2 linked regions of the Saccharomyces cerevisiae S288C genome follow. Each later gene encodes a partner of the first gene's protein in a complex. Each region holds a gene or a part of one and is shown in the gene's direction. Other genes may lie near its edges.

Region 1 (10,178 bases):
ATCCTTTCACCATGACTATTATAAGCGGCCGGCAAAATTGCCGGGAAAACTGCCAGGGATATAATGCAACCTTCATTTGAGCACTTAAAATAGAAGATAACGTTGGTAAACCCCCCTTGATAGTGGACACATCCTACGTAGATCTCTCTACAGCCAAGTCGTATATATAGCAGCAAATTGCAACCAACCACATGGGACATAGGAATGAGTGGTTTTCTCAGACCCTGAACGTGACCGTCCATCATGAATTTCTCCACAGTTTTTCAAGCAATAATCGCGGTTTTAGGTTTAACTACAGTCACAGCTTTAGCAGAATTTGATTTCGACGTAGGCTATGAAGAGTTTGTCCGTACCAATCCTGATACGATTTTCTTAGAGAGTGATATTGGCCTGCACGTTGGATATACCGAGGGTGGCGAACGACAGATAGCAACGATACCACACAATTCCACGCTAGGGACTTCACTACGTGAGTATAGTGGCTGTGGTGGTAATGGTACAGAAACCTCCATCGCTACCCCCGCACCTACAATGAGTGAGGTACCTATCGCTACCTTCGTGAAACGTAGAAAAAGTGTACCTATCTTGCTACCGCAGGTATGTATGTGAAGAGTTGGTGAATTTTGAGATAATTGTTGGGATTCCATTTTTAATAAGGCAATAATATTAGGTATGTAGAATGTACTAGAAGTTCTCCTCGAGGATTTAGGAATCCATAAAAGGGAATCTGCAATTCTACACAATTCTATAAATATTATTATCATCATTTTATATGTTAATATTCATTGATCCTATTACATTATCAATCCTTGCGTTTCAGCTTCCACTAATTTAGATGACTATTTCTCATCATTTGCGTCATCTTCTAACACCGTATATGATAATATACTAGTAACGTAAATACTAGTTAGTAGATGATAGTTGATTTTTATTCCAACAGTATGGGAGGTATATGAACCCCTACAACCACTCATTTAGAAGTGGGGGACTGTAGTTCTTTTATGAAGTAACGAAATTTTATGAAGTAACAACAAATGTTGTTAATTGTAATCTTAATAATCTAACATTTAATAAATCTTGACCTTAGACTTTTTTGTCTATTCATAATATGCTGATATTACTTTTCTTAAATATAAATATAATCTATATAATATTATTAACGAAATGTAGGAAGCTAAAAAAAAAAAAAAAAAAAAGAAAGAGACTTTTATGCGTATATTTAGGTACCCCGGTACTTACTTCTGTATATATAAATCAGTGAATCAATACATATTTTTTTTTAATGTTTTGTCCTTATAACGCGACTTATTCAAAAGAAAAAAAGAAGTCCCATGCAAAAATCTTGTCATTATTGCGAATGGATATATCAGTGAGACCTTTTTAAGGTTGTAGGGAAAAGGAAGTACGCTTCATTACAATTTCGTTCATGTCTTGCTCGCCTACTTGTTTTGCTCATAAATCCCATCAGCACCATTGTATGCGCCCTTCGTAGGAAATTAACGCATCTGAAGAAAAAAAGAACTGCAAGATAATGACACACAGCACGGTCATCGACTGTCGAAAGGAAACCTTAAAAAAGTAATCGGCACCTCAACCTTGATGAATTATAATCTATCCAAGTATCCAGACGACGTGTCGAGACTTTTCAAGCCAAGGCCACCTTTATCTTACAAAAGACCAACCGATTACCCATATGCGAAGAGACAAACAAATCCAAATATCACTGGCGTTGCAAACTTACTATCAACCTCTTTGAAGCACTATATGGAGGAGTTTCCTGAAGGATCTCCAAACAACCATCTCCAAAGATACGAAGACATCAAACTTTCCAAGATCAAAAATGCTCAATTGTTAGACCGGAGACTACAAAATTGGAATCCTAACGTTGACCCTCATATCAAGGACACAGATCCCTACAGAACGATATTTATTGGGAGGCTACCATACGATCTTGACGAAATTGAACTGCAAAAGTATTTTGTTAAGTTTGGCGAGATCGAAAAAATTAGGATAGTCAAGGACAAGATAACCCAGAAGAGTAAAGGCTACGCCTTCATAGTTTTCAAAGACCCAATAAGTAGTAAAATGGCATTCAAGGAGATTGGAGTACACAGAGGTATCCAAATCAAAGACAGAATCTGCATAGTCGACATAGAAAGAGGCAGAACCGTTAAATATTTCAAGCCAAGAAGATTGGGCGGCGGCCTAGGAGGCAGAGGCTATTCCAACAGAGACAGCAGGCTTCCAGGAAGGTTTGCAAGCGCAAGTACATCAAATCCCGCCGAAAGAAATTATGCTCCCAGGCTGCCACGCAGGGAAACTTCTTCCTCCGCATATAGCGCTGATAGATACGGCAGTTCCACATTGGACGCGAGGTACCGTGGAAACAGGCCATTGCTCTCCGCCGCCACTCCTACTGCTGCTGTTACTTCTGTATATAAATCTAGAAACTCACGGACTCGAGAGTCTCAACCAGCTCCCAAAGAAGCGCCCGACTATTGAATATAAGTAATACTTAAACTCTGCTACTTGTTGTCTATGATTACCCGCACATCAGTTAATTTGGATACTTTTTTCCCTTTCTCAGACTTTGCCCCTATAACAAAATAAGAGAAAAACAGCCCGCATTTAACACAAGATACTATAGCAAAGGAGACCAGAGAAGACTCAACACAACACACGCGAACGATCAAGCAATGGAAGCCGATTGGAGGAGAATTGACATCGATGCATTTGATCCAGAGAGTGGCAGACTAACCGCTGCCGATCTGGTACCACCATACGAAACTACTGTCACATTACAAGAATTACAACCTCGAATGAATCAATTGCGCTCGCTTGCCACAAGTGGTGACTCTTTGGGAGCCGTTCAATTACTCACAACCGATCCTCCATACAGTGCAGATGCTCCAACAAAGGAGCAATATTTTAAGAGCGTCCTTGAAGCATTGACACAAGTCAGGCAAGCCGATATTGGTAATGTAATCAAAAATTTGAGTGATTCTCAGAGGGACGTGCTGGTAAAGTATCTCTACAAAGGAATGTCCGTACCTCAGGGCCAGAAACAAGGGGGTGTCTTGCTTGCGTGGCTGGAAAGAATTACTCAAGTCAGTGGTGTCACACCTATCGTTCATTATATATCGGATAGAAGAACTGTATGATACTCTGCCCAGTAAAACTTAGTATAAAGAAATATACATATATATACGTAATTTTAAGGGTCGCGTTTGTTATATGCTTTTACTTCAGGCATTTCGCGGTGATGTAGGTATTGAGTTTTTTTTTAAAAAAATTGACATTGTTTGGCGAGGTTGAAGATATAAATGCCTGGATTTTAAAAAGCTCAGTTGCTACTCAAACCAAAATGTCAACAAATCAATTTGCACAAAACAAGTACGCATAAACTTTGAGAGCATGAGTGAGACCAATGGTGGCAATGCAGCCAGGGAAAATTCTGAGGTGAAACAAACTGCAGTTGAAAATCCTATCGATAAACTAGATGGAACTCCTAAGAGACCGAGGGAAAAAGATCAGGATGAACAAGCGGAAGAAACGAGTGACAAATCAGAAGCACCCAATAAAAATGATGAGGAGAAAAAGGAGGAAGGTAAAAAAGACCAAGAACCATCGCATAAGAAGATCAAGGTTGACGACGGAAAGACCGTAGAATCTGGTATTGTGGAAGATGACAAAAAGGAGGATAAATTCGTGTTTGGTGCCGCATCTAAATTTGGAACTGGGTTTGGTGTTGCCAAAAAGGACACGAAAGATGGAGATGCAACTACCAGTACTGAAAGTTTACCAGCCTCTGACAGCAAAACAAAGAAGCCATTTGCATTTGGTTCAGGTTTATCATTTGGCAGCGGCTTCAACATACTGAAAAACAAAACAGAAAATAACTCTGAAAGTGAAAAGAAAGCTACTGATGTTGACAAAGATAAAGTCCATAGTGGATCTGAACAACTAGCGAATGCCTCAGAAGATACAAAAGACAAACCAAAACCCCTCAAATTGCAGAAACAGGAAGTCAAGTCTGGTGAAGAGTCTGAGGAGTGCATATATCAAGTCAATGCGAAGCTGTACCAACTTTCCAACATAAAAGAAGGCTGGAAGGAAAGAGGTGTTGGTATCATCAAAATCAATAAAAGTAAGGACGACGTCGAGAAGACGCGTATTGTTATGAGGTCTCGTGGTATCTTAAAAGTCATTTTAAACATCCAACTGGTCAAGGGGTTCACTGTGCAAAAAGGATTTACAGGTTCTTTGCAAAGCGAAAAATTCATAAGATTACTAGCAGTAGATGATAACGGTGATCCTGCACAGTACGCCATAAAGACTGGTAAGAAGGAAACCACGGATGAATTGTATAACATTATAGTTAAATCCGTTCCTAAATAAGTAAAGAGAAATAACGTTAAAAATAAATCAAAGATAAAAACAAATCAGTTTTGTTTAACAAATGCTACACTACATATGGTCGCACCCTGGACCCCGCCAAATTGGAAAACAGGGTATTTTATTGTTTTCCACATTTTCAAATTATCAGTCTCTATGATCTTTACTAGTTCATCTTGTGTGAAATTACAAGAAGTGATCAAGAAAATACCGTCTTTTTTCAAAATCCTTTCCACTACTCCGGCGTATACATCGACTACATCAAGTTTACCGTTGATCTTCATGCCACTCAATGAAATGGCATCTAGGGTCCCTTTATCCAACACAATGTCATACTTTCCCGGCTTCCAGTCACCACTAAAGATGTCTGCTTGCTGGAAACTGATGAAATTGTCAACACCGGTGGCCTCGGCTATATTACTAGCGAGTTTGACGCTTTCCTCAGAATAGTCTATCCCGACCAGTTTCCCTTGGAATTCCGTTTGATGCAGTTCAAATAACATGTGTCCATTACCTGTACCGAGGTCTACAACAGAAGCATTCTCAGAAATTCTGTACGCACCAATGTTATCTACCAGAAAATCAATCATCTTTTGTTCAGCATCGCTATCGCTAAACCAACAGTCCCCGGTATCCTGCGGATTCCGCCTGAAATTCTCCAGCTCCAGGGCATACAGTTCATCCCAGTATTTTTTCGTACCAAGTTTCGAAGTGCTCAAATCTGCCGTGCCCTGCATCTGTACTACCTTTTCGGGTTGAGTTCGTTCCATAATACCGTTCTTAAGAGCTGAGCTCATCGATTTTTTTTCACTTCTTTTCATGAACCAATCTTTTTGCGCATTTATGCCGGAACACCGCAAGCGGGCTAGGCTGGACCCCTTTCAAAGCAAAGCTGCCATTGCCACTATTCTGCACAGAAGTTATCATATACCTTGCGTAAAAACGGCACATAGAAGCACAGATCAGAGCACAGCCATACAACATAAGTATGACCAAAGTAGATTTTTGGCCAACTCTTAAGGACGCATACGAACCACTCTATCCGCAGCAGCTGGAGATTCTGCGCCAGCAAGTCGTCTCCGAGGGGGGGCCCACCGCTACCATACAGTCAAGGTTTAACTACGCATGGGGGCTGATCAAATCCACTGACGTGAATGACGAAAGGCTTGGTGTGAAAATCCTCACAGACATTTACAAAGAGGCCGAGTCCCGTAGACGAGAATGCCTATATTATCTGACCATAGGTTGCTACAAACTCGGTGAATACTCTATGGCGAAGAGATATGTAGACACTTTATTTGAGCATGAGCGTAATAACAAGCAGGTGGGCGCTTTGAAGAGTATGGTAGAGGATAAGATCCAGAAGGAAACACTCAAGGGTGTTGTCGTCGCTGGAGGCGTACTAGCCGGCGCTGTGGCCGTGGCTAGTTTCTTCTTAAGAAACAAGAGAAGGTAACAAGCACATAAAAAATCAGCACATACGTACATACATAAGAATGAATCGCACGCACGCGTAAACATTTATCATTTAATCTTCAGTTGTTAGATAAAAAAAAAAAGAAAAGAAAAGAAAGTGAAGGCTTGTTTCAGTTTGAACTAGGTAGCAGAGCAAGCCCTCGTTCTTGGCTGCTAATTTTCCTAAAGTAGTAAAAAAAGCCAAGTTATCTGCCTACGGTTGTCACAGCAACATTGCGTGCCGTTGTTCTTTTGTTTTTTTTTTTTTTTTTTTTTCGTGGTTGTCGCAGCAACGACACCTAGGCGCTGCTCAAAGGGGCAAAAACCCGGTTGCCATGGCGAGGACCAAACGACAAGATGGGAAAAAAACAATAGTCTATTGTTAAATCGTAATACTGTATTGTGAGATGCTGACGCGTTTCGTTTTTCGTGTCAGCGTTCTTTATATTGTTTCGTGTTCTGCTGCAAAACGTATATAAACGCACTGCTATTTTGCCTTCTTTTGCCTTCTTCCTTGCCTTTCTCTCATCTCATATCCAAGTTGAAATAAATATGACAAGCAAGAATAGCAGCAGCAATAAATCAAATACTCCCACACAAATGTACGTTATTAAAAGAGACGGCCGCAAAGAGCCCGTTCAATTCGATAAAATTACCTCCCGTATCACCCGTTTGTCATACGGTTTAGACCCAAACCGTATTGATGCTGTTAAGGTAACCCAACGTATTATTTCTGGTGTGTACTCCGGTGTTACTACCGTTGAGCTGGACAATCTTGCAGCTGAAACATGTGCATACATGACCACTGTGCACCCTGATTATGCCACTCTAGCCGCTAGAATCGCCATCTCTAACTTACATAAGCAAACCACAAAGCAATTCTCCAAAGTTATTGAGGATTTACACGACTGGATTAACCCAGCTACTGGAAAGCATGCTCCTATGATTTCGGACGAAATTTACAACATTGTCATGGAAAACAAAGATACTTTGAACTCGGCCATCGTGTACGATAGGGATTTCCAGTATACGTATTTCGGATTCAAGACACTGGAGCGTTCGTACTTGCTAAGACTGAACGGTGAAGTGGCAGAACGTCCTCAGCATTTGGTAATGCGTGTGGCGCTAGGTATCCATGGTAGCGATATCGAATCTGTGCTGAAGACTTATAATTTGATGTCGTTAAGATACTTCACTCACGCTTCCCCAACTTTATTCAACGCTGGTACGCCACATCCTCAAATGTCTTCATGTTTCTTAATTGCCATGAAGGATGACTCTATCGAAGGTATTTATGATACTTTGAAAGAATGTGCTATGATTTCCAAAACTGCAGGTGGTGTTGGTCTTCATATCAACAACATCCGTTCCACAGGTTCTTATATCGCTGGTACCAACGGTACTTCAAACGGGTTGATTCCTATGATTCGTGTTTTCAATAATACTGCCCGTTATGTGGACCAGGGTGGTAACAAGAGACCTGGTGCTTTCGCCCTTTTCTTGGAGCCATGGCATGCAGATATCTTCGACTTTGTCGATATCAGAAAAACACATGGTAAGGAAGAAATTCGTGCAAGAGATTTGTTCCCTGCTCTATGGATCCCTGATCTTTTCATGAAACGTGTTCAAGAGGATGGGCCTTGGACTTTGTTTTCGCCCAGTGCTGCCCCAGGTTTAGATGATGTGTGGGGTGATGAATTTGAAGAACTATATACTCGTTACGAAAGAGAAGGTCGTGGTAAAACAATTAAAGCCCAAAAGTTGTGGTATGCCATTTTGCAAGCACAGACAGAAACAGGTACACCTTTCATGGTTTATAAGGACGCATGTAACAGGAAGACAAACCAACAGAACTTAGGTACTATCAAATCATCTAATTTATGTTGTGAAATCGTCGAATATTCCTCCCCGGATGAAACTGCAGTTTGTAATTTAGCTTCTATTGCCCTACCAGCATTCGTTGAGGTTTCAGAAGATGGTAAAACTGCAAGCTATAATTTCGAGAGATTACACGAGATTGCTAAAGTCATTACTCACAACTTGAACAGAGTTATCGACCGTAATTACTATCCAGTTCCCGAGGCTAGAAATTCAAATATGAAGCATAGACCTATTGCTCTTGGTGTCCAGGGTTTGGCCGATACTTATATGATGTTGCGTCTACCCTTTGAATCGGAAGAAGCTCAAACTCTAAACAAACAAATCTTCGAAACTATTTACCATGCTACTCTTGAAGCCTCCTGTGAATTGGCCCAAAAAGAAGGTAAATATTCTACTTTTGAAGGTTCTCCAGCTTCTAAGGGTATTTTACAATTCGATATGTGGAACGCTAAACCATTTGGCATGTGGGATTGGGAAACCTTAAGAAAGGACATTGTTAAACATGGGTTAAGAAACTCTTTGACTATGGCACCAATGCCAACCGCCTCAACTTCCCAAATTCTTGGTTATAATGAATGCTTCGAACCAGTGACCTCAAACATGTACTCTCGTCGTGTCCTGTCTGGTGAATTCCAAGTTGTTAATCCATATTTACTACGTGATTTAGTCGACCTGGGTATTTGGGATGATAGTATGAAACAATATCTAATTACACAAAATGGTTCTATTCAAGGCTTACCAAATGTGCCACAAGAATTGAAGGAATTATACAAAACCGTCTGGGAAATCTCTCAAAAGACCATTATCAATATGGCTGCTGATCGTGCCATCTACATCGATCAGTCTCATTCCTTGAATCTTTTCTTGCAAGCACCATCAATGGGTAAGATTACTAGTATGCATTTCTACGGTTGGAAGAAGGGTTTAAAAACTGGTATGTACTACTTAAGAACGCAAGCCGCCTCCGCTGCTATTCAATTTACCATTGATCAAGAGGTTGCCGATCAAGCCGCTACACATATTGCTTCCGTCTCAGAATTGGATCGTCCAGTTTATGTTCCAAAGGGTACAAAATTCTCTGAACAAAAGGCGGCATCTGCGCTTACCGAAAGCTCAGATAATGAGAAGGATGCATCTCCAGTTCCATCCGAACAATCATCGGTGTCGAGTGCCATGTCAAATGTGAAATTGGAAGATAGTGTTGCCCCAGCAGTTCCAACGGAAACAATAAAAGAAGATTCCGACGAGAAGAAATGTGACATTTACAATGAAAAGGTGATTGCTTGTACTGCTCCTACTCCAGAAGCTTGTGAGTCATGTTCCGGTTGATTCTTTCTGGTGGCATTTTTCCCTTTCCTTATCTAACTTGGAGCGGTTTCTTTTCGTTAGTATGTATTAAGACCTTTTTTAAATAAACTTTTTTAAACAAAACATATACACAATCATGTACGCTAATAAAATTATTTCTTTTACATTCTTTCTCATTGTATTCTATGATTATTTTCCAGATTTACCGTCGCAAAAAAATTACTCTGGGGTGTAGAAGAAAACAGCTAAATACCGTAAAGAGTGTAAAATCGCAAAATACATTCAATTATATAAATAACTAAGGCACAATTCAACCAGTATTAGACTTGTGAGAGATAGACCATTTAGCATTGAATTGAATGGGTGTGCATTTTGATGATAATGCTAACACAACGTGGGAAGCCACAGACCCTGGCGTTTCAAGTGATTGCGATGGACAGCACCGTGTGACTGAGTCTATACAACTGCAGAACTTTTCCAATACAGACATGGAAAGTATGCTTGATGAAGAAGGGAGAGAAAACAGTAAGTCAAAATGGTTACTATTAAAAAGGAAACATCCTATACAAAAGTTTATTGAAAGAGTTTGGAATGGCCCTGTTGAGCCAAGTGACGAACCGCCTAGCTTTCCTAAACGTTGGGGATGGCTGAAGAAGATAGATGATTTTCCGCAGACTACATTCAAAACTAAAATACCAAGTAAGTTGATACGACTGTTGCTACTGATTGTGTACTGCTGCTTTTGGATGCGCATTTTTTATTCTCTCATATACCCCTATCTTATCAAGCCGCCATACTTCCATCCAAATGATGGCTCAGAAAAGATTCCTATATTGTCTTTAAGTTGCAATTCCTACTTGAACTGGGAGGGTACCAATAACGAATGTGGTTTAAATGCTAAAAACTGCGGTCCACTTGATAATAAAGAATACATGATCAGATGTCCAGCACTGTGTGATAGAGGTGGATGGACATACTCCGCCATTGCCGTAGGGAATAGGAGAGTCAAATATACAGGGTATGAAATTGGCGGAGGTGCCCTGTTTAGCGAAGAAGACCCGATGGTCGTGTCCTACCCTTATAGAAGTGACTCGTTTCCATGCGCCTCTGCAGTACATGCAGGTGTTATCTCACCATTT
Region 2 (3,600 bases), on another chromosome or scaffold:
TGGTGAAACGCTTGATATTGCTATCGGTAATTGTCTTGATAGATTTGCAAGAACTCTGAAGATACCTAATGAGCCCTCGCCTGGCTACAACATCGAGCAGTTAGCTAAAAAAGCCCCTCACAAAGAAAACTTGGTAGAACTTCCCTATACAGTAAAGGGGATGGATCTTTCGATGAGTGGTATATTGGCTTCCATCGATTTACTTGCCAAGGATCTATTTAAGGGCAATAAGAAAAATAAGATCCTATTCGACAAGACAACGGGCGAGCAAAAAGTCACTGTAGAGGATCTTTGCTACTCTCTGCAAGAGAACCTATTCGCCATGCTAGTTGAAATAACAGAAAGAGCTATGGCTCACGTTAACTCCAATCAAGTTTTGATCGTAGGCGGTGTTGGTTGTAACGTGCGATTACAAGAAATGATGGCGCAAATGTGTAAAGACAGGGCCAATGGGCAAGTACATGCTACAGATAATAGGTTTTGTATCGATAACGGAGTTATGATTGCCCAAGCAGGACTACTAGAGTATAGAATGGGTGGGATCGTGAAGGACTTTTCTGAAACTGTTGTTACGCAGAAATTCAGAACCGATGAAGTATACGCAGCCTGGCGTGATTAACGATTTTTGTTACAGTTAGCCTAATGTTCACACTACGAATATATATATATATTTATATATGCCATACACCTTACATTTACAGCTCAGTGTATAACCTTGTGGAAGCGCGAAAATAAGCAAGAGACATTTGAAAATAATCAATAAACAAAGCTCAAAAAAATTAGATCATCACCTAACAAAATAAGACGTGGCAATTACAGAATGGGGGAAAGCTTGGATAGATGTATAGATGATATTAATAGGGCGGTGGACTCTATGTCCACACTCTATTTCAAGCCACCAGGAATTTTTCATAATGCCATCCTACAGGGAGCAAGCAACAAGGCAAGCATTAGAAAAGACATTACTAGACTAATAAAGGACTGTAACCACGACGAGGCGTATCTTCTGTTCAAAGTCAACCCTGAGAAACAATCCGTTTCACGTAGAGACGGCAAGGAGGGAGTATTCGACTATGTTATTAAACGAGATACGGACATGAAAAGAAATAGAAGGCTGGGCAGACCAGGGGAAAAACCGATCATCCATGTGCCCAAGGAAGTATATTTGAACAAAGATCGTCTTGATTTGAACAATAAAAGGAGAAGAACCGCCACTACAAGTGGCGGTGGCTTGAACGGTTTTATTTTTGATACCGATCTTATAGGATCCTCTGTCATTTCAAATTCAAGTTCAGGTACATTCAAAGCATTATCAGCCGTGTTCAAGGATGATCCGCAAATTCAAAGGCTCCTATATGCCTTGGAAAATGGAAGCGTGCTCATGGAAGAAGAATCCAATAACCAAAGAAGAAAAACCATCTTTGTCGAGGATTTCCCTACTGATTTAATTCTTAAAGTTATGGCCGAAGTAACAGATTTATGGCCACTAACAGAGTTCAAGCAGGATTACGACCAATTGTACCATAATTATGAACAACTTTCTTCCAAATTGCGCTTCATCAAGAAAGAAGTTTTGCTTCAAGATGATCGCTTAAAGACTATGTCACAGTACCATCCTTCTTCTTCTCACGACGTTGCTAAGATTATTCGAAAAGAAAAAGATGAAATTAGGCGGCTAGAAATGGAGATAGCCAACTTGCAAGAGTAGGGGAGCACTTCTCCTCAAGAATAGATATTTCCTTTGTCCTAATTGCATACATAGGCCACTGCAAATCATATAATTATGTATTACCTTACATCTAAATGTATAAAACCAACTGAGCGGATCCACCATGGGTCTGTCTCCTGTTAAAGCATGTAGCTTCATGTTTCTCACATAAACTTTCCTCATCGTAATGGAAAAAAAAAATAGTCATAAAAAAAAAACTAACCATGAATGACATATAAGATTACCACGAGCGAGAGTAAAAAAGAGTATCTCTATATGGGTTCGGGCGATACTAGAGGAGAAAGCTCTCTGGTAGCTAAACCAATCGAAATTATACTTAATAAGCTACCACATGCCATACTAGCGCAACAACAATTTCAAAAATATATAACGAGCCCCATCTACAGATATCTTTCCAAACTTCTACTGTTCAGAGAGGTGGCTTGGCCCGAAAGTACAAAAGATACCCAGAAAGGACAAGTAGGGATATTTTCCTTTCAAAACAATTATGCAGACTCTGCAACAACTTTCAGAATACTTGCTCATTTAGATGAGCAGCGATACCCGCTACCCAACGGTGCCGCTGAAAAGAATTTACCTTCTTTATTTGAAGGATTCAAAGCTACCGTTTCCATCATTCAACAGAGACTGTTGTTAGACAATGTAGACGGGGCCACGAATAGTGATAAGGAAAAATACGTTCAATTGCCGGATATTAATACTGGTTTTGTGAATAAAACGTACTCTAGAATTGACCTAACACATTTACTTGAGGATGTAGAAACTAACGTGGAAAATCTGTCAATCAATAAAACGTTAGAGATGGATGAGTTGACCAGATTAGATTCCATGATCAACGAACTAGAATCCAGGAAATTAAAAATCCTGGAAAGGGTTAAGCACATTGATAGTAAGTCTACCAATCTTGAGAATGATGTAACACTGATAAAGGATAGAATAAATTTTATCGAGGAATACAATTTGGAAGCTGATCGTGAACAGAGCTTACGGAAGCAAATGGAAGAAGAAAGATCATCTGAAGCGTCGTCCTTCACGCAAAATGAAGAAGCCATATCGTCGTTATGTGATGTTGAAAGTAAGGATACGAGATTAAAAGATTTTTACAAGATGCCCCATGAAAAAAGCCACGATAAAAACAGGCAAATTATCTCAGAAACATATAGCCGAAATACCACGGCTTTCAGAATGACAATACCCCATGGCGAACATGGAAACAGCATAACCGCATTAGACTTTGATACACCATGGGGAACCTTGTGCTCATCAAGCTACCAAGATCGTATAGTAAAAGTGTGGGATTTGAACCATGGGATACAAGTTGGAGAGCTGCCTGGTCACCTTGCTACTGTTAATTGCATGCAAATAGATAAGAAAAATTACAATATGTTGATTACTGGAAGTAAGGATGCCACTCTGAAGTTATGGGACTTAAATCTGAGTAGAGAAATATATTTGGACCATAGTCCATTGAAGGAGAAGACAGAAGAAATTGTTACACCATGTATCCATAATTTTGAGTTACATAAAGACGAAATCACAGCCCTGTCTTTTGATTCTGAAGCTTTGGTTAGCGGATCTAGGGACAAAAAAATATTCCACTGGGATTTAACGACGGGCAAATGTATTCAGCAACTTGACCTTATCTTCACACCTACACATAGCGACATTAAAATGCCTGCACGTTCATTAAACAATGGTGCATGTTTACTTGGCACAGAAGCACCAATGATAGGAGCCCTCCAATGTTACAACTCTGCATTAGCAACAGGAACAAAAGATGGCATTGTGCGACTATGGGATCTAAGAGTTGGCAAACCGGTGAGATTACTAGAAGGCCATACCGATGGAATTACAAGTTTGAAGTTTGATTC

The links.
Region 2: the proteins of FIS1 (region 1) and CAF4 are in contact, whole or in part, in a crystal structure (PDB 2PQR), measured with the Saccharomyces cerevisiae proteins. Residues at the interface, in NP_012199.3 of Saccharomyces cerevisiae: Phe6 (codon at 5,399), Trp7 (codon at 5,402), Pro8 (codon at 5,405), Asp12 (codon at 5,417), Leu17 (codon at 5,432), Gln21 (codon at 5,444), Ile24 (codon at 5,453), Leu25 (codon at 5,456), Ile39 (codon at 5,498), Gln40 (codon at 5,501), Phe43 (codon at 5,510), Asn44 (codon at 5,513), Trp47 (codon at 5,522), Gly48 (codon at 5,525), Lys51 (codon at 5,534), Arg59 (codon at 5,558), Val62 (codon at 5,567), Lys63 (codon at 5,570), Thr66 (codon at 5,579), Ile68 (codon at 5,585), Tyr69 (codon at 5,588), Lys70 (codon at 5,591), Glu73 (codon at 5,600), Ser74 (codon at 5,603), Arg75 (codon at 5,606), Arg76 (codon at 5,609), Arg77 (codon at 5,612), Glu78 (codon at 5,615), Leu80 (codon at 5,621), Tyr82 (codon at 5,627); in NP_012962.3 of Saccharomyces cerevisiae: Ser81 (codon at 2,225), Ala82 (codon at 2,228), Phe85 (codon at 2,237), Arg86 (codon at 2,240), Leu88 (codon at 2,246), Ala89 (codon at 2,249), His90 (codon at 2,252), Leu91 (codon at 2,255), Glu93 (codon at 2,261), Tyr96 (codon at 2,270), Pro97 (codon at 2,273), Leu98 (codon at 2,276), Pro99 (codon at 2,279), Glu104 (codon at 2,294), Leu107 (codon at 2,303), Pro108 (codon at 2,306), Ser109 (codon at 2,309), Leu110 (codon at 2,312), Phe111 (codon at 2,315), Glu112 (codon at 2,318), Gly113 (codon at 2,321), Phe114 (codon at 2,324), Lys115 (codon at 2,327), Thr117 (codon at 2,333), Val118 (codon at 2,336), Ile121 (codon at 2,345), Gln122 (codon at 2,348), Arg124 (codon at 2,354).

What each region holds. Positions count from the first base shown.
Region 1 is NC_001141.2:236,981-247,158, reverse strand, and holds FIS1 (Fis1p), read left to right. Parts: upstream 1-5,383; coding exon 5,384-5,851; downstream 5,852-10,178. Other genes in the region: YIL059C (uncharacterized protein), read left to right, coding at 244-609; YIL060W (uncharacterized protein), read right to left, coding at 333-767; U1 snRNP complex subunit SNP1, read left to right, coding at 1,600-2,502; ARC15 (Arc15p), read left to right, coding at 2,697-3,161; YRB2 (Yrb2p), read left to right, coding at 3,415-4,398; EFM4 (Efm4p), read right to left, coding at 4,443-5,132; ribonucleotide-diphosphate reductase subunit RNR3, read left to right, coding at 6,451-9,060; YIL067C (uncharacterized protein), read left to right, coding at 9,399-10,178. UniProt on the Saccharomyces cerevisiae protein: Has a role in mitochondrial fission. Has a role in outer membrane fission but not matrix separation. Required for targeting MDV1 to the mitochondria.
Region 2 is NC_001143.9:509,018-512,617, reverse strand, and holds the start of CAF4 (Caf4p), read left to right. Parts: upstream 1-1,984; coding exon 1,985-3,600. Other genes in the region: KAE1 (tRNA N6-adenosine threonylcarbamoyltransferase), read left to right, coding at 1-619; SPC34 (Spc34p), read left to right, coding at 821-1,708. UniProt on the Saccharomyces cerevisiae protein: Involved in mitochondrial fission. Has a partially redundant function to MDV1 in acting as an adapter protein, binding to FIS1 on the mitochondrial outer membrane and recruiting the dynamin-like GTPase DNM1 to form mitochondrial fission complexes.